4 linked regions of the Stegostoma tigrinum genome follow. The protein of the gene in region 2 interacts with the protein of the main gene of each other region in a pairwise test. Links are inferred from orthologs where the notes say so. Each region holds a gene or a part of one and is shown on either strand. Other genes may lie near its edges. The genes, in order: psmc6, crk, ppfibp2b and inactive ubiquitin carboxyl-terminal hydrolase 53-like.

Region 1 (7,075 bases), on a different chromosome or scaffold from region 2:
GACTCACTCCCTCCACCACTGATACACAGTCATACCATATACATGATGAATTACAGCAACTCATCAGTGTCCTTGACAACATCCCCCAAACCTCTCCCACTTAAGACAAGGACAGCAGAATGGAAGCACCATTTCATGTCTACTAGTTCTCCAAGGCACATACATTCCTGACTTGCAAGTTTATTCAGCATTCCTTCATTTTTGCTGAATGAAAACATGGAATACACTTTCTAACAACTCCAAGAATGCCAAACCAGCTCGACTACAACAGTTGAAGGTGGCAGTGCATCATGGCATTCTGACAGGTAATTGGGAATGGACAACAGATATCGATCTTGCCAGCAATACTCATTTCATGAAAGATTAAAAATAAATACAACTTATTCATCCCTGACAAATGTTTTATATTCTCTCTGTACGATCTTGAAGGCCTTGACATCCTTCCTAAAGTCTAGTCCCAAGAATCAAATACGCCAGATGAGATTTAACTAGTATCTTGTAAAGGTTTCACACTTTTTAACACATGCTATTTCTAAAGGATTGCATTTGCATCTTTAAATGGCCTTAACTTGGCCTGCCATCTTTAAATATTTGTGTTTATATATCAAAGATCTAGATGTTCTTGTATGCCTTTTAACATTGCCAATACTTATTCTTTCTACCATAATGCATTATTTGATATTTTTCTGTGTTCAATTTCACCTGTTTAGAACTGGAAGGAGGGTCACTGGACCTGAAATGTTAACTTAGTTCTCTCGCCACAGAGATATCGCCCAAATTTTTCCAGCACTTTTATTTACAGTTTGTGCTTATGTGCATATTTTGTGAATGTAAGCATTCTATGTAGAAATCTCGGATTTAGAAACTGCAAAGTATATTCTGAGACACTTTGTAACACGTGAGACACCACAAACATTGTCAGATTGTGCGACATTGTTCACAGACAATTCCACAAACTTGTTGCACTTAAGACTTCAGTTTATTTAAAAATAAATTTCTCCTTTGTAATTAATGCATACAAGTTCAAGATTGGTATTTAATCTTTTTTCACCTACATATACAAAACTGCAGTTAATGGAGGTAGCAAGCAATATTCTCTAAGATCTATTCAGGAGTGTAAATTTTCCAGCAAGCTAGGAGACAGGACTCCACCCACCAAGAACACATTGCCAAAGCCTTGTTAATTGGGCTGTACATCAGTTAAATCACACAGTGGAGGGAGAAGGTATAGTGGAAGCAAAGATTTTGAAAGAAATTTGATAGTAACATGTAATGCACAATATTTTGCCACAAGTATGCCATAATATTAACAATAATTGCTGCTTCCTTTTAATTACATGAAGCACAAGATTATTTAAAAAAACACTGATCAGATGCTTCAAAACTAAATACAGCCCATGAAATATTTCACTGCCAAAGCAAGTTATTTACGAGCTAACATTTTTCCACGTATTCATTTAAATACTACCTTTGTGATAACATTTTTATAAATAAAAAGCTTTACTAAATAGAATATTGCCCTGTTTTGATGTAACACACAGAAAATTTCCCAAAACAAGCTTTATCAAGCGATTTCCGCATAAAGGGTATCTACACAGCAAATTTAAAAAGAAAGTGAAGTTTCACCAAACTAATCTTGGGACAGCACATTTGTCTCAAGAGCAGGGACTGAAGAATTAGGTCTGGGTGCTCAGCATTTTAAAGAATGAGAAGTGATTTCAGGTAAACTTACAAAATTCTCACAGGATATGACGGAACAGGTACGGATACAAGTTTCCTCTGGCTTGTGAGTCCAGAACCAAGGAAAACAGTCTCAACGCCAATATTCACTCAGAGGGTGGCGAATCTTTGGAATTTTCCTTCTCTGGAGAGATGTGGGAGTTTAATCCCAGAGTATGCTCAAGACCCAGAAACTGATACATTTGATGGGACAAATGGCCTACTCTTGTTCCTATTTCCTCTGCTGCCGGTCAGTAATTAAACAAACATAGATACTTGAAGCATGGAAAGCATTAATTTAGTTATCCACCTCACATACTTACTGGACTGTTTCCAGTATTTTCTATTTTTTTTGTTACAGACTCAAGCAAGAATATGTAATTATAATTGGGAATAACGTTACTTTTGTATTTTATTTCACACTACATACTTTATCAATTTCTACAAGTAACAAGCGAACTGATAACACGAAAATTTTATAGATCCTGTCAGTGCTTCATTCAGCTTTTGTTAGTATCCCGCACAGTTAGAATAACATTATGAAATGAATTAAAATATAAATAACGTGAAAACAGCGTTCAAAACTGCCTCAACAAAATTATCCTGAACGGAATTCTGCAAATGTGAGCGGTAGGACTACTTGCATCGCTTTCAAAGAGTTAGTACAGGCACGAAACCAAATAGTATTCCTCCACGTTATTAAAAAAAATTGCATTCGTGAGAAATATAAAGATACAAACCACTTATGGATGCAGTTTATTCCGCGAAATGCCACACTATCAAATTAGACAGGAGATAACTGTCAGTAATTTTTAATTCCAGATTTGTTTAATTAACTGAATTTGAAGTTTCAGGGTGCTAGGATAGGATTTTAACTTCTAGCTCCAGATTATTAGCCGCTGATGGTTGGGATCATCTCCCTTCCAATGGGGCCCACAACAAACTCCTTTCACTTCACATAGAATCCCGGACTACAATTTCCTACATCTTACTTGTGTGATTTAGAATATGAATCACAGCGGGAACTGGAGCGAAGCCTGGTCTGGAAGCAGACCGGTGAGGCTGCTCCTTGAAGCTGCGATTCACTCGGCCCCGGCTTTACCCAGCATGACAAAGCGAGTCAGCATCAGGCCCCGTTTCTACTCGCTCGTACATAACATAGAAGCCGCAGTTACACCCCAACCCATTAACCATGAGTAAAATGTGGAAAACATACACTCTTTCAGGCGGCCGTCGATCTCTTTGTGCTCCAATAATTTTTTCCTGTAATCCTGAAGCGCCTTCTCCCTCGGATCCGCCATTGATGTTCAGCACCAAACACCGCCTGACGAGACGAAGCTCCCAGCCGCATTTGACAATGAGTCTCTTCTGAAGCAAGAGTAGCCACTGACTGGGAAGGTATCTTACCTCCAAAGTGTACAGCCTCTAGTGGCTAGAGGTGGTATGGCTGTCGTGTGGCTAAGCCCAGCATCTGGTTTGGCCAGGCGGAAGTAATGAACGCGCCAGCAGCTTACATCATATTGATGTCTCAATGGTTATTGTTGAGGTTTTCTGTAAGAAGCATTGCGGTTGCTGGGAGATTTGTCGTCATAGTCCGTTGTACTGTCTGTCTTGTGCTATCCTCACACATTCACTGTAGATTTTCTGCAACTGGCTTTGTGTTGTTTGACATCCAACCCCTAAATAGGTTGGCCACTCTTTCTGCTGTCCTTCCCTTCCCACTCCAGAAGATTGTAATGCTTCGAATGTAAACATATCTTTAGTTAAGTGAGCAGACCAAAACTGTACACAATATTTCAGATGTAATCTCACCAAAGCCCTGTACACGTATAGCAAAATATCCCTACTTTAAATTCCTTGCAATAAGCAACAACATTCATTTGCCAACTTAATCATGTATTGTAATACAGTCTTGGTTTTTGTGACTTACTGTAGAAGATATCTTTCCGCATCATAGTATTCTTTAATGTCTCTCAATTTAAATCAAATGCTGCTTTCCTAATCTTCCTGCCAAAATGGGCAAGTTCAAATCTCCCCACATTAAACTTTATTAAACATTTGTCCGGTCACTTAATCTGTTAATAATAAGTGCAGACTCTTCACAACTTATTTTATCACCTATCTTTGGGTAATCAGTATTTAACAACCATACATTTATTCTCCTCATTCAAGCTATTGATTTAAATTAGAAATAGTTGAGGCCCCAGCATGATCCTTGTGGAACTCCACTTGTTTTTTTCTTGCCAACCTGGAAATGATCGATCTACGCTTATTCTCACCTGGAGGTCATAATTTGTGTAATAAATATTGATGGGAACCTTATCAAATGCCTTTTGGAAATCCAAAAACACTGCAAGGACATTTTCTCTGTTATCTTTGTTGCTTATTACTTCCTTAAATAACTGACAAATTAGTCAAACACATTTACACAAAACCATGTTGATTTTGACTTATAGTAAGATTTCTAAATTCCCTGCTATAACCTTCTTAACAACAGACTCTGGCATTTTCCATCTGCCAGCTCTTATACTACCTGGCCTATAATTTCTTGATTTCTTTCTCCCTCCTTTCTTGAATAAAATCTTGAATACATTTGCCATTTTCCAATCTGATGAGACAGTTCCAGAATACAGGGAATTTTGGACATTGAAGCTAATGCATCTACTATCTCAATAACTAGTCTTTTTAAGACCTTAGGGTGAAGTTCATCAGGTCCTGGTATCTTCTCTACCTTTAATTCTAATATTATTCTTAGTATCCTTTTCCTAAGAACATAGAACATAGAAAGGTACAGCACAGTACAGGCTGAGATAATGGGAACTGCAGATGCTGGAGAATCCAAGATAATAAAGTGTGAAGCTGGATGAACACAGCAGGCCAAGCAGCATCTCAGGAGCACAAAAGCTGACGTTTTGGGCTTAGACTCTTCATCAGAGAGGGTGTCTGATGAAGGGTCTAGGCCCGAAACATCAGCTTTTGTGCTCCTGAGATGCTGCTTGGCTTGCTGTGTTCATCCAGCTTCACACTTTATTATCACAGTACAGTCTGAAATTGTTTTTAGTTTATCTCTTCCTTTCACTGTTGACTTACGAGTATTTCCAGGATGTTATTTGTGTCTTGTATGAAAACAGACAGTATTATCTTCAATGCATCCACCATTTCTATAACTCACATTGTTAATTAGCCAGACTCATTTTCTAGAGGACTAAAGCTCATGTTGGTTACTTCCTTCCTTCTAAAATACCTATAAAAACTCTTTTTGTTTTTATTTTCTAGCCAGCTTTTGCTCATATTTTAAGTTATGTCTTCTCTTGTTTTCAGCTATTCTCTGATGTTTTTAATATCTCATAGTGTCCAGGGATGTGTAGGTTAGGTGATTAGCCATGATAAATGCAAGATTATGGCGAGAGCGTGTGGTATGGGTTTGGGTGGGATGCTCTTCAAAACGTCAGTGCAGACTCAATGGGTTTAATGGCCTTCATCTGCACTGTAGGGATTGTAGATGACTGATGTAAATGTTATGCTACTGTATACTGGGCTCCAGTCACACAAACAGTCTCCTACCACTACCCCCTTCTCCTGTCACTAAGCCAATTTTGGATCCAACATACCAAATTACCCATATTCTGTGAGCTCTTATCTTTTTGTTTAATCAGTTTCCCATGTGAGACCTTGTCAAAGATCTTGTTGAAATCCATGTAAACTCTGTCAATTGCCCCACTCTCATCCAAACATTTGGTCACCTTCTCAAAAATATCAACCAGATTTGTTAGGCATGATGTCCCTCTGACAAAGTCATGCTGACTCTCCCTTAACAAACCATGCCTCTCAAAATGGAGATTAATTCTCTCCGTCACTCTTTTCTACAATATTTTACCAACCATTGATGTCAGACTCATTGGTAGATAGTTGTCTGGTCTATCTGTCCCAGCCTGATGGAGATTATAGATTAAATGTAGCAAAATTACAGAAACAATTATTTATTACAACTTTATTCTTTGTTGTGTAAGATAAAATACGAAGACTCATTACAACTGAATGAAGAAGTTTAAGAGCAGCTGGCAAGTGAATTAAAAGAATATGTTATCAATTATGCTGTAGACAAAGAAGATGATAACATCTAGATCCTGCAGAGTTAAAGTCAAAGTAACAGCTGCAAAAATGTTGCCCATAATTTGAGTCTAAATAGTGATACTGTCTTGGAACATGACTAAAGTTAAAAATATCCCCTGATGTCCTTTTGGGGAGGATGTTTGTCATCTTTTGCTGGTCTTGTCTACATGTGACTCCAGATCCATTTAAACCTAATTGATTCTTAACTGCCCTCTGGGCAATTAGGAAAGAGCAATAAATGCCAACTTAGCCATCCTGACCCATATTCCCCTCAACAATTTTCTTTAGTAATAGATGCTGAAATTATTGTAGTTAAGATTTCAAGGAAATAAATAGAATGTTTATTCCTTAATTAATATCGAATCCTTTTCAAGTAAACCCACCTTTTCTACTCTACAGAAAATAGTTCCCGGTCAGACTTCCACGTTTCATGATTATAAACTAATCAGAAGGCCTGATTGTTTAAAAAATTGCATTGTAACCCTGTGACTGTTGTTAAACTTTGGCATCTATATGTGGCTCTTCCCAGAGTGAAAATTCTCGATTCTGTTAAACTCTTTGGTGAAAGAATAACCTGAAGTCCTGTATTTAAAGAAATATTGTCGCAAAACACAATCTACTAATTTGAGAACAAGCATGTTGTCATGCTGGCTGTGCCAACAAAGTTGATTTCAACGTCATTCGTTGGAGGTCAATCAATTTTGTCCAAGGCGGAAATGGGGTTAGTGACACGATAAAATACTCATTTGTCATGCCATGAGAAAGGCTATTTTCTGTATAGGACGGTGTAACACAGGTGTGACATCAGATTGTATATCTTTAAATAAATAAAACACAAGCAAAGATCCCTCCCTTGCCAGCAGAATCTAATTCCTCTAAATGGAAGCGAACGAGCACGTAATCCACGTCCTCTCAACACTGAGAGGAAGTTGTCCCTCCACTGATCTGATTCTGTACAGTGTCTCAGGCGCATGGTAACAAACGGCAAATCGAACAACTACACCACCGGAGGTGTTTGGTAGCGTCTCGGGACGTGCGAGTTTGGTGTTGCACATCAGACCAGGAAGTATTGTGAAATTTACCAGGAGGTGGAACTTCTACCAGCAAACTTTCAATGAGTCGAGTTTGTTCACTCCCAGTTGCTGGTTCGCGTTGGCATTTATTTTTTTTTCCAGCATTTGGATTGAAGCGGTTTGTTTGACCGTATTAGGCGAGATTAAGCATTTCTTATCATGTTGACACG
Region 2 (7,962 bases):
ATCCACTGTACCCGGTGCGGCTTCCTCTACATTGGGGAAACCAAGCGGAGGCTTGGGGACCGCTTTGCAGAACACCTCCGCTCAGTTCGCAACAAACAACTGCACCTCCCAGTTGCAAACCATTTCCACTCCCCCTCCCATTCTCTAGATGACATGTCCATCATGGGCCTCCTGCACTGCCACAATGATGCCACCCAAAGGTTGCAGGAACAGCAACTCATTTCGCCTGGGAACCCTGCAGCCATATGGTATCAATGTGGACTTCACCAGTTTCAAAATCTCCCCTTCCCCTACTGCATCCCTAAACCAGCCTAGTTCGTCCCCTCCCCCCACTGCACCACACAACCAGCCCAGCTCTTCCGCCCCCCCACCCACTGCATCCCAAAACCAGTCCAACCTGTCTCTGCCTCCCTAACCGGTTCTTCCTCTCACCCATCCCTTCCTCCCACCCCAAGCCGCACCCCCATCTACCTACTAACCTCATCCCACCTCCTTGACCTGTCCGTCTTCCCTGGACTGACCTATCCCCTCCCTACCTCCCCACCTATCTTCTTTACTCTCCATCTTCGGTCCGCCTCCCCCTCTCTCCCTATTTATTCCAGTTCCCTCTCCCCATCCCCCTCTCTGATGAAGGGTCTAGGCCCGAAACGTCAGCTTTTGTGCTCCTGAGATGCTGCTTGGCCTGCTGTGTTCATCCAGCCTCACATTTTATTATCTTGGAATTCTCCAGCAACTGCAGTTCCCATTATCTCTGATCTCTATAAAACTAGTGCTCTCTGGTTACAGATCTTTCTGACATTGGAGACAGTAACGACTGCAAGTGCTGGAAGCTAGAATCAATAAATGTGGAGCTGGAAAAGCACAGTCAGACAGCATCCAAGGAGCAGGAAAGTCAACATTTTGGACCGAAGCCCTTCATCAAACCCATCCTAATGGAGGGTCTCTGCCCGAAACGTTGACTTTCCTACTCCTGGGATGCTGTCTGACTGGCTGTGCTTTTCCAGCTCCACATTTTCTGACAAGGAAACTGTTTCATCCTTATCTATTCAATCCAAATCATTTGGGATTGTAAGCACACAAATCACAAGGAAAACAATCCAGTTTTCCTCACATCATCATCCCTAGTATCATTCCAGTTAAGGCAACATTTTGATTTTAAAATTCGGATCTGTGTGTTCAGCCCAAAGCAGCACTGCCTTCTAAATTCTAAAAACTTCCCGAGTTCAACAAACCTGAGATTCACAATCTTGGCATTTCCCTTGTTCCTGATTTTAATTGGTCCACTACTGGTGGTTGTGCCTTCAACAGTTGAGGCCTGTGTGTTTTGGATATCCACCCTGCTAAATTTGCTCCTATTTAAATTCACCTCCAACAAAAATTGTCATCTGTTCTAATATCATCTCATAACCCATTGTCAAATCAGGTCTAACAATTGCGTGCCTTGGAATGTTTTATAAGCAAAGGCACCAGATTCCCCATATCCCTCACTTTCTTTTTTTAAAAAAAGGACAATCTCAGCTTTTCAACACTGCGCTCAATATTGATACAGTATCCCTAACAGCCCAAGTTGTTTCACGAGTGTTATCAAATAAAAAAGCTTAACACTAATCAAAATCAGATTTTCAAGCAGAATAAAAGCAAAATGTGAGGCTAGAAATCTGAAAAAAAAAACAAAGCGCTAGAAAAATTCAACAAGCCCAGCAGCATCTGGCGTTAACGTTTCACGTCCAATAGGACTTCTCTTTAAAACCAGGGCAGAACGCTGAAAGTTCTTAATCTTACATTACTTATCATCGACTTTTTCACCGTCTTCGGATATTTGCCTTCCTTCCCCAAGTATAGCGACCAGCAATACTCGAATACCCAGACTGACAGAGCACTGCTGAAAAGGGGGAGGAAACGGAATGGACCACAAGGCACCTACCTCCAGAGCCAGGGCCGTCTTATCATAGGCATTGGGGACACGCTTCTGGAAGGCCCGGGCATACACCGGCCCGTTCTGGAGGTTGGGCAGCGAGGCACTGACACTAGGCTGGGCATAGGGCCCGAACTCAGGCTGCCCAACTCCGCCAACCCCCGGCGAGGGCTGGTGCTGGGCCGCTAACGCCTGGCCGCCCTCCGGGCTGTTAGCCGGGCCGAGCAGCGAGCTGGGCCGGCATTTCTCCACGTAAGGCACGGGGATCATGCCGCAGCGGCCTTCGCTGTTCTGCGCGTTCCACCACTGATCCTCGGGCTTGTCCAGGATGCGGAGCACGTCGCCCTTGCGGAACGGCAGGTCCTCCTCGTCGTTGCCGGGGAAGTCGAAGAGGGCGCGGACAAAGTGGGCCTCCTCAGACGGGACGCTGTTGGTGGGGATGTAGGCGGCGTTGGGCCTGTGGACAGGCTCCAGCAGGGTGGTGGTGTCCAGGTAATGGATCTTGTAGAACTCCAGCAGGCCGTGCAAATTCTCGAACTCCTGGTCGCCAATGCGGTAGCGCCCGGGCCCGGGGCCTGGGCCTTGCTGCTGCCGGCTGTTGATGATATAATGCGACACCTTCGAGTTCTCGCTGACACTCAGCACGTAGTCCCCTGGGATGGTGCGACTGTCCCTCACCAGGAAAGTGCCGTGCTTTTGGCCCATCAGCAGAGACACGGCTTGGTCCCGCCTCATGGGACCGAAGTACCAACTCTCTTGCTTCTGGGCGTCGAAATTAGCCGCCATGTCCCTCAGTGTGCTCTACCCGGGCCGGGCTACTCTCAGCTCCGCTCTGCCTGCCCAGCGGTGCCGGCAGCGGCCTACTCGCCGCCTAGGCCTCAGGCCTCCCTTCACAACACACTAAACTAAAGAAAATATAAAGTCCCCGGGCGGCAAACAGACGCGTGTTTACTTCATAAAATCCGTCCCCCCGCGTCAGTTCTCAGATCGGCCGCCTCTTGTTTGTGAAACTTATATTTTTTTTCCCCTCTCACTGTAAATCTGTTGGAAAATAGCGCGCGAGAACAGCGGAATCGTTAACTGCGCCCGACCCTTTTAGCCGATTTCTATCCGCCGACTTTTGATTAGGGCGTTTGTTCTCTAAAAGGGACCGCCCCACTGCGCACGCGCACTCCCTGGAGTGAGGTCGGGTGGAGAGAGAGAGAGGGCGAGCGCTGACCCCACCACTCGGAAGGGCAGCTCGTGGCGATGGGAATAGCCGTCTGCCATCTTGGTGAGGTCGTGTTGGACTCCCTTCTTGTGCTAGAGGGTCCAGCAATATCCAATTGCACCGACATGGCGCCTGCAACCCAGTCAACCAGGGGTGGTCCCGGGGCTGCAGATCATCAAACAAAATTGAAACAAAGAACTGCGGACGCTGAAATCCGAAACAAACAAAAACAAGAAATTGCTGGAGAAACTATGTAGGTCTGCCAGCGTCTGTGAAAAGAACACAAAGTCAATGTTTCGAGTCCAGTGAGCTTTCTTCAATATCATACGAAAATTTTATATTGAAACACCTGAACATGATTCAAGGGAGGATTACCAAACAAAGATTTTGGTACTGAAGCACTGAAAGACATTAGTTTGATACTCAGGTAGGGCCGTAGGGCCTGAGGACTGAGGGGTGGTGGAGAAGTTTAGGGCACTGATTCATAGAATCACACAGTATCGATGAGGTGCTTTGGTCCATTGAGTCTGTACTGTCAAAATATGCTAGTACCTATACTAGTCCCGTAATCAAGCAGTAGGCCCACAGCCTTCTATGTTATGACACTTCAGTTGTTCATTAAACTACTTTTTTAAAGGTTGTGAGCCTTTTGGCTTTTCACTTTAAAATTATGGTGCCTTGTTCTTAATTCCACTTGATACTTTCTCTCTGTCCACCCTCTCCATATCCTTCATGGTCTTATACACCCAGATACAGACTCGTCAACTTTCACTACTCCAAATAAAATAGCCTGAACTTATCCAGCCTTCCTTCATAGCTGAAGTGCTCTATCCAAGGCATCATCCTGGTGAATATCCCTAGGTTAATTACATAGCATTCACATCAAAATTAATGAAATAGTTTGTTTCTTTTTGTGAATGTATCGATAGGGCGGTCATGCGAATATGTAGATATGTTGGACTAAGGCAAATCCACATTATGCAGCCTGGACAGAGCTGATAGCAAAGCTACCAGGTGGATCAATTAAAATTAGGATGTTCAAGCAACAGAATTGAGGACCCAGGAGAGATGGAGGGACAATACCATGGAGGAATTCAGAAATAATAATGATTTGTTTTTAGACCATATATTAGGCCATACGGCCCATCAAGGTTGTTCTACCAAGTAATCATGGCTGATATGCTCCTCAACCCCATTCTCCTGGTTTCTCCCCGTAACCCTTGATCCCTTACCAATCAAGAATTTATCTATCTTTGTCTTAGATATGCTCGATGACTTGGCCTCCACATCCCTGTGTGGCAATGATTGCTGCAGATTAACAACCATTTGACTGAAGAGTTCCATCTCATCTCAGCTCTAGATGCCCCTACATGCTGAGACTGTGTCCTGGGTTCCTAATGTCTCCTAAAAGTGGAAGCATGTTTTTCGCAATTACTGTATCCAGGCCTCATTACCAATCAGATCCCCCCTCGATTTTCTAAATTCAATCAAGTACAGGCCCAGAGTCCTCAACCACTCCTCATTATGACAAGCCCTTCATTATTGGGATCATTATTGTAAACCTTTTTTGTACCACCTCCAACATCAGCACATCCTCCTTTAGATACGAGGAAGGAAACTGCCCACAATATTCCAAATGCAGTCTGGCCTGAACCCGATACAGCCTCGGCAGTACATCTCTTGCTCTTGTATTCTAGCCCTCTGGAAATGAATGTTCACATTGCATTTGCCCTCCCCACTGCCAAGTGAACCCACATATTAACTCTTAAAGAGAATCCTGAACGAGGACTTCCAAGTCTTTCTGTCTCAGATTTCCAAAAGCCTTTCCATATTTAGGAAATAGTCAATGCCTCTATTCTTCCTTCCAAAGTGCACAATTACATTTTCCCACATTGTATTCCATCTGCCAATTCTTTCAACACTAGCTTATCCAAGTACTTTTGCATCCTCCCTGATTCCTCAGCACTACCTATCCTTCCACCCATCTTTGTGTCATCTGCAAATATAACAACAATGCCCTCAGCTCCTTTGTTCAGATGATTAACATATGATGTGATTCTGTGATCTCAACATGAAACCATGCAGAACTCCAGTAGTCACCAGCTTCCATCCTGGAAAAGACCCCTTTATCCCTTGCCTCTGCCTTCTGTAAGTCAGACAATCCGCTGCCCCTTCAGCCTCACTAGTCCTTACCAACCGTGTTTCCGAAACTGAACTAGTTCCATTTGTCTATATAAATAAAAACCAAAAGAACTGCAGATGCTGTAAATCAGGAACAAAACCAGAAGTTGCAGGAAAAGCTCAGCAGGTCTGGCAGCATCTGCGAAGAGAAAATCAGAGTTAATGTTTTTGGTCCCATGACACTTCCTTAGAACTGAGTTCTAAGAAAGGGTCACAAGACCTGAAACATTATCTCTGATTTCTCTTCACAGATGCTGCCAGACCTGCTGAGCTTTTCCTGCAACTTCTGGTTTTGTTCCCGTTTGTCTGTGTTTGGCCACATTGCCCTCTAAACCTCCCCTATTCATGTACCTGTCCAAAGGTCTTTTTAAAAATGTTGTAACTGTACTTGCCTCTACCACTCCCTCTAGCAGCTCATTCTATATATGTACCACCCTCTGTGTGAAAAAGCTGCCCCTCAAGGTCCCTTCTGCGTCTTTCCCCTCTCACCTTAAACTTCTGCCCTCTGGTTTTGGACTCCCAAACCTTGGGGAAAAGACTTGGCCTATTTACCTTATCAATGACTCTCATGATATTATAAACCTCTATAAGTCATCTATCAGCCTTCTACACTCCATTGAAAATAGCCCCAGCCTATTCAGCCTCTCCCTATAGATCAAACCCTCCAGACTTGGTAATATCCTTGTAAATCTATTTTACACCTCTCAAGTTTAATAATATTCTTCCTATAGCAGGATGACGAGAATTATGCAGAGTGCTATTGTTATGAAGGAGTGGTCAAACCCCTCTGATAATTAAAACCAAAACCTCAGAGAAGCTTGCCTCACTTCATAATCTGTTAAACGAAATGCGAAAATTAGTATAACCTGCCTCTCACCTCCCAATCTGTCATAAAGGAGAGGTGAAAGTAAGATGAACTTCCGACATTCACTCACAATCAACAAGTAACAATTTATCTAACTCCAACAGTTAACAAATTAACAGAACTACTAACAAATTGAACAATTCACCCCTTAACTACAAACTATTCCCAAATAAGACAAAATTCTAATGGTAAGCTGCTCTAATTGATACATGTCCCACTTAGAAACCAAATTAATAAAAACAATTAAAGCTTAATCTCTCAAATTTACAGCCAGGATACACCTTCCAGATGCTCCACACCCTCTGAACTGATTCTCCACCAGGAATGCCTTTCGCTGTCAAATTCTGGTAAAATGCTACTGTACCTTTAATTAGATGATGGGTTTTTTTTCTGAGAGCTGATAGAATTCCATGAGAGCCAGTGTTTCTCTTTAGAGCTTATGGGTTGTTATTTCTCTTAGATGGCAGTTGCTCTTACCCTGATTTTCAAATACCCTCTTCTTTTATACTTCTGATGACCTGTTAATTTCTTATAATAAAATTGGTCCAAGGTTGTCAAAACCATTAGATTGGGGCCTAGTTTAAATTAATTGGATAAATTTCAAAGCCTGTTGATTAGTAAAAGATGCTGCTTTTCCTGCAGATATACCCACAATATACCCCCTCAATACAAATGTTTCCCTTCAGGAACTCTCTGTGCAGCTGTGCTGCTTGCAGACTTTTAAAATCTCCAAGCCTAGGAAAAACACACATCTATTTTTAAAGGAATATGCACTTTTCCCTCTTATCAATTTACAAACTTAAAAAAATCTAACATCCTGCCTTTTAATCCATCAATAGTATGCCCAATTTTGCAACACATCCCCCTCAGAAAAAAATGAACAATCATAATGAAAAATGGCTTCATTCTTTCTTCTTTTTTATCTAAACCTTAACACCACTATTACTCTATCCATAGCTCATTAATCCTGTGTTACACTTTTCATACTAATTCTGTATACATACATAACATTGAACACTAACGTTTCTATCTTATACACATTTTTCTTTTAAACCCAAAATAACGCTTCCGCAGTAACATTTTCACGACCTGTAACTTGTACAATATGTAAATTAAATGCTTGTATCATAAGGCTAAACAAAATAGGCTAGTGTTCTGGCCCTTAAATCTCACCAAAAATGTCAAATTGTTGTGGTCAGAGTACACGACTGTCTCCAAGACATTGTTTGCAATGTAAACATGAAAATGTTGTAATGCCAATAACTATTTTTAAATGGCTAAGTATTTTCTCTGGTGGATATTGAGTTTCTTTGAACAATAACTGATTGGCCTTTCAATTCCACAATCATCCTCCTGGAACAACACATCTCCGACGCTTACATTGTTTGTGTTGATGGTGACTTTAAAGGCTTTGAAGAAATTTGGTGCGGCTAAAACTAGTGTGGTAGCTAACGTAGCTTTTAAATTCTCAAATGCCTCCTGTCCTTGTTCTGTCCACCGAAATTTCATCTTCTCCTTTAACAAACTCCTCAGCGGTACCACCATGCTACTGAAATTTGGTGGAGATTTCCTGTAGAATCCGCTCAGTTCCGAAAGCGTAGCATTTCCTTCTTCGAGGATGGTCTTGGATATTCCTCATTGGCCTTCGTCTTCACATTTCTTGGTGTCATCCATCCATGTTCAATGTTGTGCCATAAGGACGTCACTTCTGCCTTCACGAATTCAGCTTTTGCAATATTTATGAGCAGTTTTGCCTTCCCTGGTCTTTCAAAGAGATCTGCCAAATGCACC
Region 3 (7,610 bases), on a different chromosome or scaffold from region 2:
ATGTTACCAGGATTGGAAGTTTTAAGTTATTGGGTGAAGCTGATTATGCTGGGGCTATTTTCCTTAAAGTGTCAGAGGGTGAGGGATAACCTTTTAGAGGTTCGTAAAATCATGAGGGGCATGGATGGGGTCAATAGTCAAGGTCTTTTCCCCAGGGTAGGAGAGTCTAAAACTAGAGGGCATAGCTTTAATATCAGAAGGGAAAGATTCAACAGGAACCTAAGGGGCAACTTTTGCACACAGAGAATGGTGCTTGTATGGAATGAGCTGCCAGAGTAAGTGGTGGAGACTGGTACAATTACAATATTTAAAAGACATCTGGATAAGTACAAGAGGAGGAGGAGTTTAGAGGGATATTGACCAAATGCTAGCATATGGGACTAGACTAAATTAGGATATCTGGTTGACGTGGACGGGTTGGACCAAAGAGTCTGTTTCTGTGCTTCACATCTGTATGTCTCCATGACCTTGGTGGGAACCATGGGCACAGAGAGTATGGGTACTAAATCTGACGAACACCTCACTGTGACAGCTCCGCAGCTGGGCTAGGGAGAAACTCCCCAGGGTACTGGCACATCCCTGTGAGCTCACTGCCACTTGGGACCTAATGACCCTTCTTCCCCAGGAATCGCATCAGCGCAGTGAAACATCCAACTGTTTATCTGACTCCAGGGACTGGTTGGCAGCTCTATATTGTCAGAGACAGCACCTTCAGGTGCTGCTGAATAGGCACACACTGCATCACCCGAGCCCTTTATCCTCAGGACTAAAGACATGGCTACAGGAGGTGGGGTGCAGAGAACCTTGATTTCACTCCCAGTTGTCCGCTTCTCACGAGCAGGCTGAGTGGTCCCAGAAGACCCCAGCCAGTGATGGGTCACAAATCCTTTAGCAGTTTCTGTTTTTGGCACTGGGGTGGTGGTCAGCTCTCCCACCCCCACCCCAATTTCCATCTTGCCTAATATCCTCCAACCCCCTCAAGCTAAGGAGGGTCAACTCTGAAAAGATTATTCTTGTCACATTCCGCCTGTCAAGACAGAAACACCCCCTGAGTTGCCCAATCAAACGTCTGGGGTTCTACATTTACATTAGAGCAGGCTCTTTCCAGCCCAACTGCAGAACTGGGGAGTGCAAAAGAAAGACTTAATGAGGGCACATTGGTGGCAGAGGCGAAGAAGGCTATCTTGTTGTTGTTGATTTTAACATTTGTGCATCTGTTTGTTTGAGACTCTCTCTGTCTAGGCACTCAACACATTTTCAAACCAGCTGCAGCAGTTCATGGCTATATAAGAGGTTTCATGCATTGCGCTTAGTACTGAAAGCATACTGCACCGGCTATAAGCTGGAGATACCTTTGGACTTCCTGGAAGAACACAATCTGTAAGAACATAACAAATAGGAGAAGGAGTAGGCTATCCAGCTCCTCACACCTGCCCCACCATTCAGCAAGGTCATGACTGACATGCCCCTAGCTTCAACCCCTCTCATCTGCCAGGTCAGCATATCCATCAACCTCCTGATATTTCAATTTCTGTTTACCCCTCTTTAAATGTTTTCAGTCCTCTAGCCTCCAAAACTCTCTGGGTTGGAGAAATCAGACATTCATTTTCCTCTAAGAGAAGAAATTCCTTCCCACCTCAATTCTAAACAAGTGTCCACTAATTCTGTAACTATGTCTTCTGGTTTGAGATTCCCTCACTAGTGAAAGTCAAGCCCCCTCAAAATCTTATATGTTTTGATAAGACCACTACTCATTCTTCTAAACTTTCACGTATAAAGATCAAGTCTGTTTCTGATTAGTAAATCCCTTCATCTCAGATACCAATCTAGTGAATGCCCTTTGAATAGCCTCCAAAACCAGTACATTTTTCTCAATGCAGGGACCAAAATTGTATATCATATTCCAAATGCAACCCCACCAATACCCTGCACAGTTGTAATGAGACTTTCCTGTTTATAAACTTCAACACTTTTATTTGGCAATAAAGGCCAAAATTCTATTTGCTTTAATTACTTGTTGCACCTGCATGTGAACTAACACAAGAAAACCAAAATCCCTCTGCACTGCACTTTTTTGGCTGTCTTTTGAGTCTTCCTACTAAAGTGAAAGCCTCAAAATTTTGGTACAATTTTTTGACCACTCACATGACCTATCAATATCCTTTTGCAAATTCCTTATGTCCTCATCATGTCTTCCAATCCTGCCTATTTTAGATTCAAATAGACAGTAAATAATTGAGGCCCCTAATCCTAGAAGCACTCTAATGATTCTGTTCTTCCAACCTGAAAAAAAACTATTTATCCTTACTGCCTTCTGTGCATTAACCAACCCTTATATATTATTCCCAAGACCACACCAGTTTGAGCAAGAACCTTTTATCTGGCACATTATTGAATATCTCATGAAATACAGATACATATCATCTACTGGTTCCCCCTTACCAACCCGACTTGTTTTAGACCTAAAGAGCTCAAGTAAATTTCCCTAACACAAAACTACATTGACTCTGTTAAATTGCATTAAGCTTTTCTAAATGCCCTCCTATTTCTTTTTTATTGATGGAACCCTAGCATTTTTCCAATGACAGATATTAGGCTGACTGAAGTTTTTGCATTTCTTTCTCCCTTATTTAAATTTGTTTATATCATCTGCCATTTCCCTGTTTCCTGTTGTAAATTCTCCATCTACATCCTCCAAGATCCCACCTTTACTTTGGAAACTCTCGTTCTTTTTATATACCCCTAGAAATTATTGCTGTTGTTGTTATATTTCATGCCAATTTACTTTCCTTTTTAATTTTTTCCCCTCTTTAATTATTAGCTTTACAGTCATCCATTTTTTCTGCTTTGTATGCCTTTGTTTTAATTGGCTACTCTCCTTGACCGTGTTATTTAATTATGGGTGGTTCATACTTCTCATCAAGTCATTACGTTTGATCAGAATAAATTTTTGCTAAGTGGTATGAAATACCTACTTAAATGGCTGCCACTGTTCACTCACTGACTTTAACTTAGTCGATTTTCCCAGCACACTTCAGGCAACTCAGTCTTCATAACTGCAGTTATCTACACCAGGGTCAATGGTTTAAGACCAGAGCTGATCTTCCTCAAATTGAATTTGAAATTCTACTACATTGCGATTCCCTCCTCCTTTGAAGATCCTTGACTATAGATCTCTTATTATAATTACACCATTACATATTACTAGATCTAAAACAACCTGTTTGTGTAGAGGTGTTGTAATGGCCTGCTCTAGGAAGCAATGCCTGATGCACCCTAGAAATTAGGCTTCGAGGTCACCCTTGCTCACTTGATTTGTCTAGTCAATGCCTCCCATGTACCCTCAGAAGGTCTTCTTCCTTTCCCTCTCTAAAAGGCTCAATGCAATTCCTGGAGTCTGCAGCCAGGATGAAGGAGCATGCCCTACAGCAGAACGCGTTGGTTTTGGCATTTCAATCTGGCACCCTGGGGCATTGGCGTCTCGATGGCCCTCATATGCTGGATGAGTCCTGTCCAGAGATTGGTGCACACTCCTCACTTTGAAGTCCCACACACCTAAGGCCAAAGGCCTCGCCACTTCTCAATTGTACTGAGGGGAGACGACTGAGTAGCCTACATGTGGTTCCTCCTTTACCTGTCTCCATGAGAATAAGAGGCACCTGGAGTGAGGTGATGTTCCTTCGTCCTTTTTGCCACTGGTGCTGAGCATTATAGGGACATAACTATATCTCACATAAGTCATTAAAGGTGACAGGACAAGTAGAGAGATCCATTAATAAAGAATACTGTGTTCTACGCTTCACGAATAAAACAATTAGTACTGCTGCCGAACAGAGCTAAGGGTGCAGGTTTGATTCCAGCCTTGGCTGATTGTCTGTGTGGAGTCTGCATGTTCTCCCCTGCGGGTTTCCTCCGGGTGCTTCGGTTTCCTCCCATAGTCCAAAAATGTGCAGATTAAGGGGATTGACCATGTTGAATTGCCCGTAGCATCTAAGGGTATGTAGGTTAGATGGATTAGCAATGGGGAATGCAGAGTTACAGAATTTGGGCAGAAGGATAGGTCTAGATGGCATGGGCCGGTGTGAACTTGATGGATCGAATGGCCTGCCTCCATCGATTCTATGACAGTAACATGATAATGATTAGACTTCAGCTGATATCCACATCCCACTGAAAAAGGAAAAAACATGGGAGGGGATGGTGGTCAGCTAATGGCCAAGTAGTATGCCCAATGATGAACTGTCTGATTCAGCCTTAGAGAGTGTCCTGGGAGAGGAAGCGAACAACGGCTGAGGAACAGGGGCCATAGACATAGCATCAATCTGCACAATATTCATTGCTCACCCGATTGTCGGACAGGCTCGAGGAAGACCCTGAACACGTCTCTTCTTGCAAACAGAGGAGGACGCTAATAGCAGGAACTGAGCGGGATGTGTCCCACTGCGGTTCCTATTATGAAGGGCAACAACGTCTTTTTTCTCTGGAATTGTTTTATCATATGACAACGCCTCTCACGGGACTCTTGCCAACTCATGGAAACTGAGAGAGGGGGTAATGAGAGTTTAAGAGGTGTGTACCGTTGCAAGGCTGCAATCCTAGCTCTCTGCACAACGCAAGTTTTGTTCTGGGGATTGAGTGACGCCCCGAAGTTCGGTTCAGGTTACAGCGAGTGATAGCAACAGGTGAGAATCATTCACACTAGCTACAAAGTTTTGTTTGGGAAGTTGAACAAATAATTTGCTATTTCCCTTTCTCTCACTGTTAGTTTCCTGTTTGCTTTAAATTGTGACTTGTGCGCAAAGCCTTTGTTTCCATATTTCCGCTACCTTGGTGCCTTTCAATTTGTAAACAGTTTGTCGATTCAAATTTGTTTAGACAGAATTTATCAGTTTCCATTTGAATAGCTGAATGTGTGTATATAAAATAACTGATATTTTGTTAGTGACGAGGGTCGTTTTCTTCACGGAGGGTTTGTACAATGACTTCAGAAATAAATTGACTTGTTGGGCTGTAGTTTATGTGAGTGATGAATTGGTTGCAGAGCTCCTTTTTGATGGCTTAAACATCTTATGAACTCTGCGGAGTTGAATCTCGCCTGAAAACCTCTTGTAACCAGTCAGATTTCTTAATTTGCATGCCGAACGCCAGCCTGTGTACTGCTGCCTGTTTTCTTTCTACAACATCCGTTGAATCTACAGGTACCTTTTTTGGGAACTTTTTTGTGAGCGCTGATTATGCAACTTAATTTTTTCCTCTTGTATTTTGTAAAATATCTCCTTTTAAGGCACAAGCTCCTAGTCAAAGTGCGCACTGAAACCATCTTATTTCTTACCAATGTCACTCTCTTAGTTTTGATTACTTGCGCATACCTTGATGCTGGATTTGAAAACCTTTTTGAACTCTGTTTTACTGCTATTCCTTCCCCCTCCTGATAGATTTACAATTGAGACGAAGTGGCCGGTGGAGTGGATATCCTCTTTCCCGCAGTTCTCCGCCCCACCCCGTCCCCCACAAATAACCTCAGCGACCTGTCTGTAATGTGAATGCAGTGGCGCCGCTTCCAGAGTGGCTCGCCAATCGCCAGCCGCTTTTTCCACGGCGTGTTACACTTTTGCAGTTGTCCCCAGGGTTAACTATCATAACTGTGTGGGCACTGAGCTATTTTCGTACCGCCGGCAGAGTCCTAACTGCATCTTCCCCCCCCACCGCCGTGGCAATAGAAACTTGTCAATAGAACCGTGTTAAGCCGGACGGCAGCGAGTCGACCGACCCCATGACAATGTTCGCTTTTGCTTACAATCGGATGGAGTGCGTGGTTTCACTACCTGTAGCTTTACATTGCGGTCCCCGTTGGACGTTTAACTCTCTGATATCCAGATGTTTTTTGAACGTGGTAATCGTATTTTTTTTCGTTAAATGGTTGGATTTGGTTTGTATAGGTTGGTCTGCCTTGCTTTTACAGATACATAGCCATTGAGCGAGCCATACAAAAGTCTGCGCTGTGCTGTTCTATTTCTATAGTTGGCTTCTTAATAATTTAAGAGGCGTAAATAATTGAAGTGCTTTAAATTCTGAGCCACTGTGCCCTTTTTTAATAGTTGTATCATTGCAAAATGCGATAAGCAATTGATGGAAATCGGCTTAACTGTCTCTTATCTCCTTTTCCTGCCTGAAAACTCCCAATGTGGCAGAAGTTGAAGCTTTTCAAAAGATCTCTTCCATCATGTAGAGCTCCTCCAGTGGCCTGGGTGAGTGATTGCACCATGTGGAGAGAGGTTAGCCGTACAATCCGGGAAGGATCCGGAATATATTTAAAAGCAAGCGAAATACACTGCAGATGCTGAGAGATCTGAAATAAGACTGCAGGATAAACTCAGATCTGGCAACTTCTGTAGGAGGAGTTGAGTCCAACATAACCCTTGGAAAGACTGCTGCTAGACCTGCTACTGAGTGCCTCCAGTGCTCTCTGTTCTTATTTTCTGCTCTGTTACTTTTGCCCATTTATTCACAGGATGTGATGGTGAGCATTTCCTTGAACCGCAGCAGTCCATTTGCTGCCTTTACCCCCACAGTGATGACAGTTCAGAACTCTGATCCAGTGACAGTAAAAGAACAGCGAGATCGTTCTGAGTCAGAATGATGTGTGACTTGGAGGATAACCAATGCCTCCCACACTTGTTGAAGAAGGGCCTAGGCTCAAAACGTCAGCCTTCCTGCTCCTCTGCTGCTTGGCCTGCTGTGTTCATTCAGCTCTACACCTTGTTATCTCAGATTCTCTAGCATCTGCAGTTCCCACTATTTCTGGTTTGGAGGCTGTTGTCTAAGGAGTCTTGGTATATTTGTGCAGTGAATCTTGGTGGTCGTGCCTGCTGTAGTCACGATTCAGCCTGTCCTGAAGCTTCCATTGAAATTTTTTGAACCACCCAGAAGGCAATGTGTTGTGTGTACCATGTAATGTAACGACAGACCACAAAGCATCCATAAGCACCACGGTTAAACACTTCACCTGTCAGGTGACCAGTTATAGGAATGTGGGTATATAGTGTCTGGAGATGGGGTGGAGGTCTCCTGGATTACAGTCCAACCTACACTTCTTTGCAGTATCACAGCCCTTGCTCAGTGGTATAATGTTTACCTCTAAATTAGAAAATGAGAGTTTTGACTATCACTTTAGAGTGTCTACTCTAGGCTAACACCACGACAATAATAAGGGAGTGCAGCACTGTCAGAAATGCTGTCTTTCAAATAAGGTCAATTGCTACTCTGTCGATTCCATCCAGTGGATGTCCAAGATCATATAGCACTATATCGAAGAAGAGTAAGGGGATTATTCCTGGTGTCCTGGCCAACATCTATGCCTCAATGCATGTCACAAAGGCAAATAGTTTGATCTTACTGCAAACAAATTGATTGTCTTCTACAATACAATAGTGATTACACTTCATTATGTCTTCTTCATAAACAATTTTGTAATGACCTTTACATTGGATAAAAGCAGTGTAAGGTGGAATTTGCTGTTTCTCCAATTGGAAAGTTACTTGCAGTGTAAAGTGAATTTGCTGTTGTGTCACAAGACCGTAGGCAACTCTTCCATAGAAAAAGATGTTTAA
Region 4 (7,831 bases), on a different chromosome or scaffold from region 2:
TCGAGCATAGTCAAGCGGAGCCATATGGTCTTGAAAATCTATACTATCCTACAGCAAAATAAAGAGTTTAAATTTCTATGGGAAATATAGGCTAGAAAAATACACATGAACAAAAATAATGAACAGTTCATAAGGATTTGTTCCATCAAAGCGCAGTCTTCCAGGGCACAATTCATCTAAAGCTCTCATCTGATGTAAAGTATTTTTGATATTAGAACAGCCACAAGTTTGTTTATTGCTTTGCTCAGTAGGCAAAAATCACTGAAAAAAACTCAGCCCATAAGTTGTGCCAAGTACAACACTATCTGTAAAGCACAAATCTTTTTTTGTAAGAACATTTCTAACTCCACAGTAAGTTAACAATTATTGCAGAAAATCTACCATTCTCCATGAGCGTGAATTGAATAGCATTCTCCCACAGACTGGGTGTTTTGTGCACATGCTTTGCCATACAAAGAAACTGAAGTGTTACAAAACTAAATAAAAACTGAAAGAACTGCAGATGCTGTAAATCAGAACCAAAACAGGAGTTGCTGATAAAGCTCGGCAGGTCTGGCAGCATCTGTGAAGAAAAATCAGAATTAACATTTTGGGTCCAGCAACCCTTCCTGAGTTCTGAGGAAGGGACACCAGACCAGAAATGTTAATTCTGATTTTTCTTCACAGATCTGCCAAACCTGCTAAGATTTTCCAGCAATTTGTTTTTGTTACAAAACTACTGTGACTTCATCACCAATCATACCTGAAACTTTTCCCCCCATACATGTTACCTGCAGTTTCATTCAAACCGAAGTCATCTGAAGTATAACTAAACAAGGACAACAATAGCCACAGTTTTGCAAAAGTTTAAAGGACCACATTATTTTAAGCATACCTAAACTGACAAATATTTCTGAAGTGAAACAAATTACAAATGTTTGTTTACGTCATACTGTTTTCTACATTACTTTAAGTTTTCAGTATACTAAACTGCCTACCTGTTCCTTGCTTGGGCAACTTTAAAAATACAAACTGGGGTTCATTTTGATAAAAGAACTGAGAAGACATAGCAACTTATCAACCTGGTTAACCACAGTACTGTGCACAATATTTCCTTATGTTGTAGGAAGGATGTGGAGGAACTTGTGAAGAAACAAACGAAAAAGCTGATGATCAGGAAAGAATGGATAGGTTTAGTTTGCTTCTCAAGAAAGGAAAAGGCTCAGAGCTGTGTTGTTACAAGTCTTTGAAATATAGCTTGCGCAAGCAGATCTTAAATAATAAAACCATTTTTCAACTTCTAAAAGTAGTCTGAAGAGAGATATAATCTGTACGTTTGCACTACACAATTCAGGCAAAAATGTGAAGAATGTGTTTGATCCACAATTTATAACAGAAAAACTCTTCAGTTAACTACAACAATACACCATTCAAATCACTTTTCAACCAGCTGAAACTCAACTAAAAACAGTATTTAAAAAATACGTCAGTTACTCAAACTGAGTAATTCTTCTGATGACTCCAAAGAAGTTAGTAGAATCACCTTCCAAATATGTACAATAGTTCTTTCCTATTTTGAAGTATAACTTAGCTTGTATCTCTTTTTGTATACACGCCCAGTTCAAACCTTGCAGGTCTGGAAGTTTGTAATAAATCATTAAATAAAAAACAAATCAGAATATTCAGTTATTGATAGCTTTAGATACATGAAAACTGGTGGCTACATTGGTCAAACTCTTAAGACATAAAACACTTAAGGGGTCCACAAAATCAAAATGCTAGTCACTCCTCAAATGTGTCAGTAGACAAATAGCCCCAGGGAAAAAAATTGAGACCGAGGGATAAAATAGAAGCCTATAACAAAATCTACAAACATCTAAAAACAGTACTTTCCCTGCAGTATCATCACGTTTAAAAAAAATAAAGTCCACCTGCAGCATAACATCTGTGTCCTATGAAATTAAGAGTTAAATGTTCCATTTCAAAATCAGATTGCAAATTTTATCTGCATCAGACTTGTTAAAATTTCACCTCCTCCCGTCTTCCTCTTAGGATCTGGTGACGCTCTCTGCGATTTCGCCTTGATAACAATAGAGTTTGGTTTACAAGGTATTGCAAAGTACAGCGACAGCTGAACTATCAACGTGCAACAATTAAAAGCTAATACCCAACAAAATAATTTAAAAGAAGACGAATCGTTGCAGTCAGCTTGTACGATGGATGAGGGTTTTTTAAAATTATTTCCCCTACAGCGATCCGAAATGATAAACTGCGCCAGATACGGTGCAATCAGGGTGTCACTGCATTCCTTCCATCGGGAAGCAGTCGGGTGGAGTTAAAAGTTTCCAGACACAATTCCACAAAAAAAGGGAAGATTGCCTCCGACTTTTAAACATGGGTTCTCAAGGTGTGTCGAACGAGCAGTCGTTGTTATGGCTGTCGGCGCACCGCTGAACGCAGCCCGAGCCCAGTGCGGATCAGGTGCCGTTCCCTTACCTGCACCGCGCTGTTGAGGAAGCAGCTGTTCTCTCCGGGTCCGTTCAGAAGCCCTTTGGGGGGGGCGATGGACAACATGCTCCCGGGCTGGTAGCCGCTCCGCAGGTTACCTCCAGGCTTCAGCAAGTTCTTCATCCAGGCCATTGTCCCGGGAATGGCGCGAGCCACAACAATCGGACTGACAGAGGGAGGGGGCGGGGCGGTTCGGGCCGCGAACTGGCTGCCAGGTGCCTCGCGAACACCCCCACACCCTCGCTCCCCGCCGCCCTCCCCTCCTCAGGTGAAGCGACTGCTGTCCATGGGGTATCTCCCCTTCGAAAATCTCAACACTTTTCACCCTCCACAGTCCTTCATCGCCGTCCTCGGACACACACACTCCCCAGAGTGGCGATGGTGATGGCCGCGAACTGGACGAAGGACGGCGGGCCTACAGAACGGAGAATGAGAAGAAGGAGCAGGAAGACGCTGCCCTGGCAGGTAAGTCGAGCGGCGCGCGAAAGGAGACTACTCCGGTCCAACCGTCCGCCTTCGACACCAGGTCCGTGCGCCGTTGCGTCACCACCAGCTGATTCCAGCTGCCTGCGTCCGGTCACGTGCGACTCCAGCCGCGGCTCAGGGAAGCGGGGAGGGATGGCAGAACGGCGAGTACCCCCACGCTAGGTGTAGGTCGGTGTTGTCTTTCTGTCTGTAGTTCTCCTTCCTTGCCTGTCATTTGAGAGCAGGAGGAAAAACGATTGATCGGGCAAAGTAGCTCTGTGTACAATTCAAAGGAGAGTACGTATGAACGAGTGGTGCCAAGAGATGGGGGTATTCGGGGAGGAGATTCTTCCTCACTGACCTCCTTTCGTGATGAAGTAAAGAGGCGTTAGGTTGGGCAGTGGTAATAACACTAACCGAGTTAGTGAGCCTCCAGTGATTGCAATAATCAAGGCGAACGGCGAAAGAATGGAGTTTGGAAATCTCTGCGATCTGTCCGGCCGCTGCTCCTCCCTGTTAGATAATTTGTTTGGATTATTATCTCTAGATAATTTAGTTTTGCTTTTAAGTTGAAAGATGTTTGTATGGGTCAGGAATTTTCATGATATAAACAAGTTTTTACCAGTATTTTATTGAGTGCAATTATGGTATAATGTAGTTTCTCATTTGAATTTGAATGTAAACTCACGAGCACAGTGAAAAGTTTACAAGTCGCCACTTAGAGCGCCATCTTAGGAACAAAGATACCTTGGTACAGAATCTAGGTACAAAGGGGTAAAATAATGAAACCAACATTTAAAAAAAGTTAAACATTACAGTCCTCCTTACTAAAAGGTAGAAAAACAAAACATTGTTAATAGTTCAACACCACAGTCCACAAGCACCTAGCCATGCTAAGCTCGCACTCATCAAAAGGGCTTCGACTCACAGCTGCAACCACCCTGGGCTGCCTGCTACTGCTCTTGCTGGTAGTGATGCCACCTTCTTTCGCGGTCACTATCAAAAAGAGGAGAAAGATAAAAATGAAAAAGAGATGTGGCCAACCTGGTGTTGGGGAAGCGGAGAGGTTCAGGATCCCGAACGCTGCGTACTTTTGAAAGCTGTTTTCCAACTTCAGTTTCACTGTTCATGTTTTATTACTCAATTATCAATCGTAGAGTGTGTAGGGGGGGGGGGAACGGGAAGAGTTAGGGTGAGTGATTGTCCAAATAACTTTTTCCTTAGCTTGAAATTCTATGATCAAAGAATCCCTGCAGTATGGACACAGGCCTATCGGCTCAACAAGCCCTCACCAAACCTCGGAACATCCCGTCCAGACCCACCTAATCTACACATCCCTGAACACTATGGGTAAGTTAGCATAGCCAATCGACATAACTGTGGGAGGAAACCCAAGCAGAAACACGGGGAGAATGCGCAAAATCCGCACAGACAGTCGCCCGAGACTGGAATCGAACCCGGGTCCCTGGCGCTGAGGTAGCAGTGCTAACTGCTATGCCACCCCACGGGTGATATTGGAAAAGTTGAAAGGATATTTAATATTGAAAACAGTCGTTTGAACAGAGTAAGTAAGCAAATAAAACTGTTCCACTGGTGAGAGGCTGAGAGGACACATTTAAAGTAATTGGCAAAAAAAATAGAAACATGAAAAAAATTCTTGTGCAGCAAGTGTTTAAACTCTGGTATGCACCATCTGATAGTGTGATCAAGGCAAGTTGGCTTGAGGCATTCACGAGGGAACTGGATTATTATCTAAAAATGAAGACCGTTTAGAGTTACTGGGAGAAGGCAAGAGAATGGCATGAGATGAATTGTTTATTCAGGAGAGCCACCAATGACGTGGCAGGCCAAACCACTTGCCTGAGAATCTGTAGGATCAAGAGGGTTTTGTATCTGGGCAACGATTTAATAATTCCTGAACCTACAAACAGGAATTTGTGATTTACATCTCTGATAATGGTGAAGTATTTTCCAGCCCTTTAGGTCCATAAAAATTATGAATAACTTGTAGCCACCTTCAAAGTCAATAGACCACAGTTCCAATTAGATGGTACTGGCGTATGGAAGTATAAGAACTTGCCTCTTAGCTTAATAATCTTAGTCGTGGTGAAAAAGTTATAAGAATTTTCACTTTGAAACAAATGCTTGTGACACAGTCGCTAAATCAATGAAGGCAACCTCCTTGAGCCTCTGTAATATCACATGCTCCCTCTCAATCTGTCTACCTCTGAAACCATCCCAACAGTTTTCCGTCACCTGGCTGGTGGTTTCAAGTTTAGCCTGTCATCTTTAACTCTTTGCAAACATCAGCTGATTTAAAATTGTACTGTGGATTGCTCCAGTAATTTTCCCATCATTGCCATGGTGCTGAAATGGCTCTTATCAAAGTCAGAGTGACTTTCTATGTGGTTTTGACAAAGGAAAACTATTCCTTCTCCTTCTGAATGCAGTCTTTTGACATTGTTAACAACAACATCTTCAATGCCTTTCCACTATCATCCAACAGGTAGGACAACGCTCCATGGATTTATTCTTATCTAACAAAATACACCTAAAGAAGTATGTGGAATGGCTTCTATTCCTGTTAGGGCATAATAACTTCTGCTGCACCACCCATGCCACTCCCAGGATCTATCCTTCCTCCTTCCCCATCCCATTTCTTCTTTATAAGCCATCCTTTGAAACCACAGGGTAAGTTCTAACAAATTTGCTGATGATTCTCAGCAGTTATCTTTCTTAGTGCTCCATTGTGATTAAGTTATTGAACTCTTTGTGTGACTGAATGGACAGAACTTCCCTCTGGTTAAATATTGGAAATCCATTATCTTTGGTTGTTGCTACAAATTCTATTCCCTTGCTAACAACTTATATTCTGCTGTCTTGCAACTGTCGAGCTGGATAACTGTTCATTAGCTTGGCATCATATCTGAGGTAGCTTCTGATCACATTTCTGTGCCACAGCTAGGACAGCCCATTATCACCTCTATATTTCTCTACTCTGCAACTGCTGAAACCCTCATCCATGCCTCTCTTACCTATAAACCTGCGTATTCTAATAGACTGTCAGCTGTTTTCTCATAATTGACTAAGTGAGGTGTCAAGGAACCTAGCAAAACCTAGAATCAATGGGAATCAGGAAACTTTCGTATTTATAGAAAGGAAAATGGTTGTGATTGTAGGAAGTCAGTCATTTCAGCTCCAAGAGGTTAATGTACGGGTTGCTGAGGGTAATGTCCTAGGCCTAACCATGTTAGGCAGCTTCATCAATAACCTTTTATAAGGTTAAAAGTGGGTATTTTCTTAATGACATTGCTGAGAATTGCACAATTTGAGAATCCTCGGATACTGGAAAGTATGAATAGTTTCATCTCCAACAAGAAAGAATCTAACTGTTGCCCTGTGGCATCAATATTACTGAATCCCTAAGTGTCAACATCCTGGAGTGGTTACCATTGATTGGAAACTGAATAGAGCTAGCTATAAAAATACTACAGCTATAGAATAGGTCAGAGAGTAGGAATCTTTCAATGAGTAACCTACCTCCTTTCTCCCCAAAGTCAGTCTACCATTGTAAAGGTCCAAGTCTGGAATAGAATGGAATGCTCTGAGTTTCCTGGATGATTGCAGCTCCAAAGACACTACAACCTTAACATCATCCAGGATAAAACAGCTCCTTGATTAGCACCACGTCCACAAACCTTCACTCCTTCGACAGCTGACATATACTAGTCCCAGTGTGTACTTTCTCTTAAATGTACTGCAGAAGACTCTTTAAGCAGCAGCTACCAAATCCAAGATTGCTACCATCCAGGAGCACAAGGGCGGCAAGTACAAGGGGAAACCAACATTGACCAGATCCCCTCTAAGCCATCGCCTTCACCATCCTGTATAGCAACAATATCGCTGTTCCCTAATGTCAGTGGGTCAAAACCCTGAAACACCTTTCCAAATGTTGATAAAGGGGGATTCGGGGATGGTAATGCCATTGAATATCTATGAGGGGTTAAATTCTCTCATTGCAGATGGTAATTGCCTAGCAGTGTGTGGTATCAGTGTCATTTGCTGCTTTTTGATCCAAACCTTGATATAGTCCAGGTCTTGCTGCAGTATCTGAAGAGTTGCAAATAGTATTGACTATAATGCAATTATCAGTGAATATTTCTCCACTTCCAGATTCAGGGAAGGTCATTGAAGCAGCTGAAGATATTTGGGCTGAGGACACTCCTGATTAACTCTTGCAGAGATACCCAAGAGGTGAGATAAGTGATCTCCTCCACCACAATCATCTCCCTTTGTGCCAGGTGTGACTACAACTGGTGGAGAGTTCTCTCTTTTATTCCCATTGTGTCCAGTTTTGTCAGGACTCCTTGAGGGCAGAGTCAACATGGTTTTTTGTAAGAGAAATTGTTTATCCAGTTTTTGCCTTTTTTTTTGTGAAGTAATATATGGATAAAGTTGAACCTGTTGTTACACTGTACTTACGTTTCCAGAAAGTATTTGATAAGGTGTCATGTTGAAGGATATTGTGGGAAATAAAAACGCACGGGAGTAGAAGATTGGCTAACTGAGAGGAGACAGAAGGAAGGCATGGAGATAATGGGAATTGCAGATGCTGGAGAATCCGAGATAACAAAGTGTGGAGCTGGATGAACACAGTAGGCCAAGCAGCAGCTTAGGAGTACAAAAGCTGACGTTTTGGGCCTAGACCCTTCATCAGAAAAGGGGGATGGTTCATCCAGCTCCACACTTTATTAAGAAGATAGGCATAGATGTCACATTTCCTGGTTTGCAAATTTGAATTAGTATGCTACAGGGATCAGTGTTGGGCCTCCACTTTATCTAATAAATGACTTGGATGAAAGGACTGAAAGTATGGTTG

Evidence for each region.
Region 1: the proteins of crk (region 2) and psmc6 interact in binary tests that used the Homo sapiens proteins (3 or more experiments, as listed by UniProt). The two-hybrid records come from large-scale screens. The link is inferred for Stegostoma tigrinum from reciprocal best matches to the Homo sapiens genes CRK and PSMC6.
Region 3: the proteins of crk (region 2) and ppfibp2b interact in binary tests that used the Homo sapiens proteins (3 or more experiments, as listed by UniProt). The link is inferred for Stegostoma tigrinum from reciprocal best matches to the Homo sapiens genes CRK and PPFIBP2.
Region 4: the proteins of crk (region 2) and inactive ubiquitin carboxyl-terminal hydrolase 53-like interact in binary tests that used the Homo sapiens proteins (3 or more experiments, as listed by UniProt). The two-hybrid records come from large-scale screens. The link is inferred for Stegostoma tigrinum from reciprocal best matches to the Homo sapiens genes CRK and USP53.

The regions. Positions count from the first base shown.
Region 1 is NC_081363.1:46,103,001-46,110,075, reverse strand, and holds the start of psmc6 (26S proteasome regulatory subunit 10B), read right to left. Parts: upstream 3,095-7,075; 5' UTR 3,021-3,094; coding exon 2,936-3,020; intron 1-2,935. Other genes in the region: ero1a (ERO1-like protein alpha), read left to right, coding at 7,065-7,075. UniProt on the Homo sapiens protein: Component of the 26S proteasome, a multiprotein complex involved in the ATP-dependent degradation of ubiquitinated proteins.
Region 2 is NC_081380.1:46,981,454-46,989,415, forward strand, and holds the start of crk (adapter molecule crk), read right to left. Parts: upstream 3,062-7,962; 5' UTR 2,702-3,061; coding exon 1,925-2,701; intron 1-1,924. UniProt on the Homo sapiens protein: Involved in cell branching and adhesion mediated by BCAR1-CRK-RAPGEF1 signaling and activation of RAP1.
Region 3 is NC_081370.1:38,748,220-38,755,829, reverse strand, and holds the start of ppfibp2b (liprin-beta-2b), read left to right. Parts: upstream 1-4,529; 5' UTR 4,530-4,682; intron 4,683-5,164; exon of another isoform or gene 5,165-5,198; intron 5,199-6,191; exon of another isoform or gene 6,192-6,248; intron 6,249-7,610. UniProt on the Homo sapiens protein: May regulate the disassembly of focal adhesions. Did not bind receptor-like tyrosine phosphatases type 2A.
Region 4 is NC_081354.1:68,133,871-68,141,701, reverse strand, and holds the start of inactive ubiquitin carboxyl-terminal hydrolase 53-like, read right to left. Parts: upstream 3,044-7,831; 5' UTR 2,953-3,043; coding exon of another isoform or gene 2,866-2,952; 5' UTR 2,620-2,865; coding exon 2,476-2,619; intron 1-2,475. Other genes in the region: uncharacterized protein LOC125463357, read left to right, coding at 2,866-2,952, 7,126-7,206. UniProt on the Homo sapiens protein: Deubiquitinase that mediates 'Lys-63'-linked deubiquitination of tight junction proteins, such as MARVELD2 and LSR, and which is involved in the survival of auditory hair cells and hearing.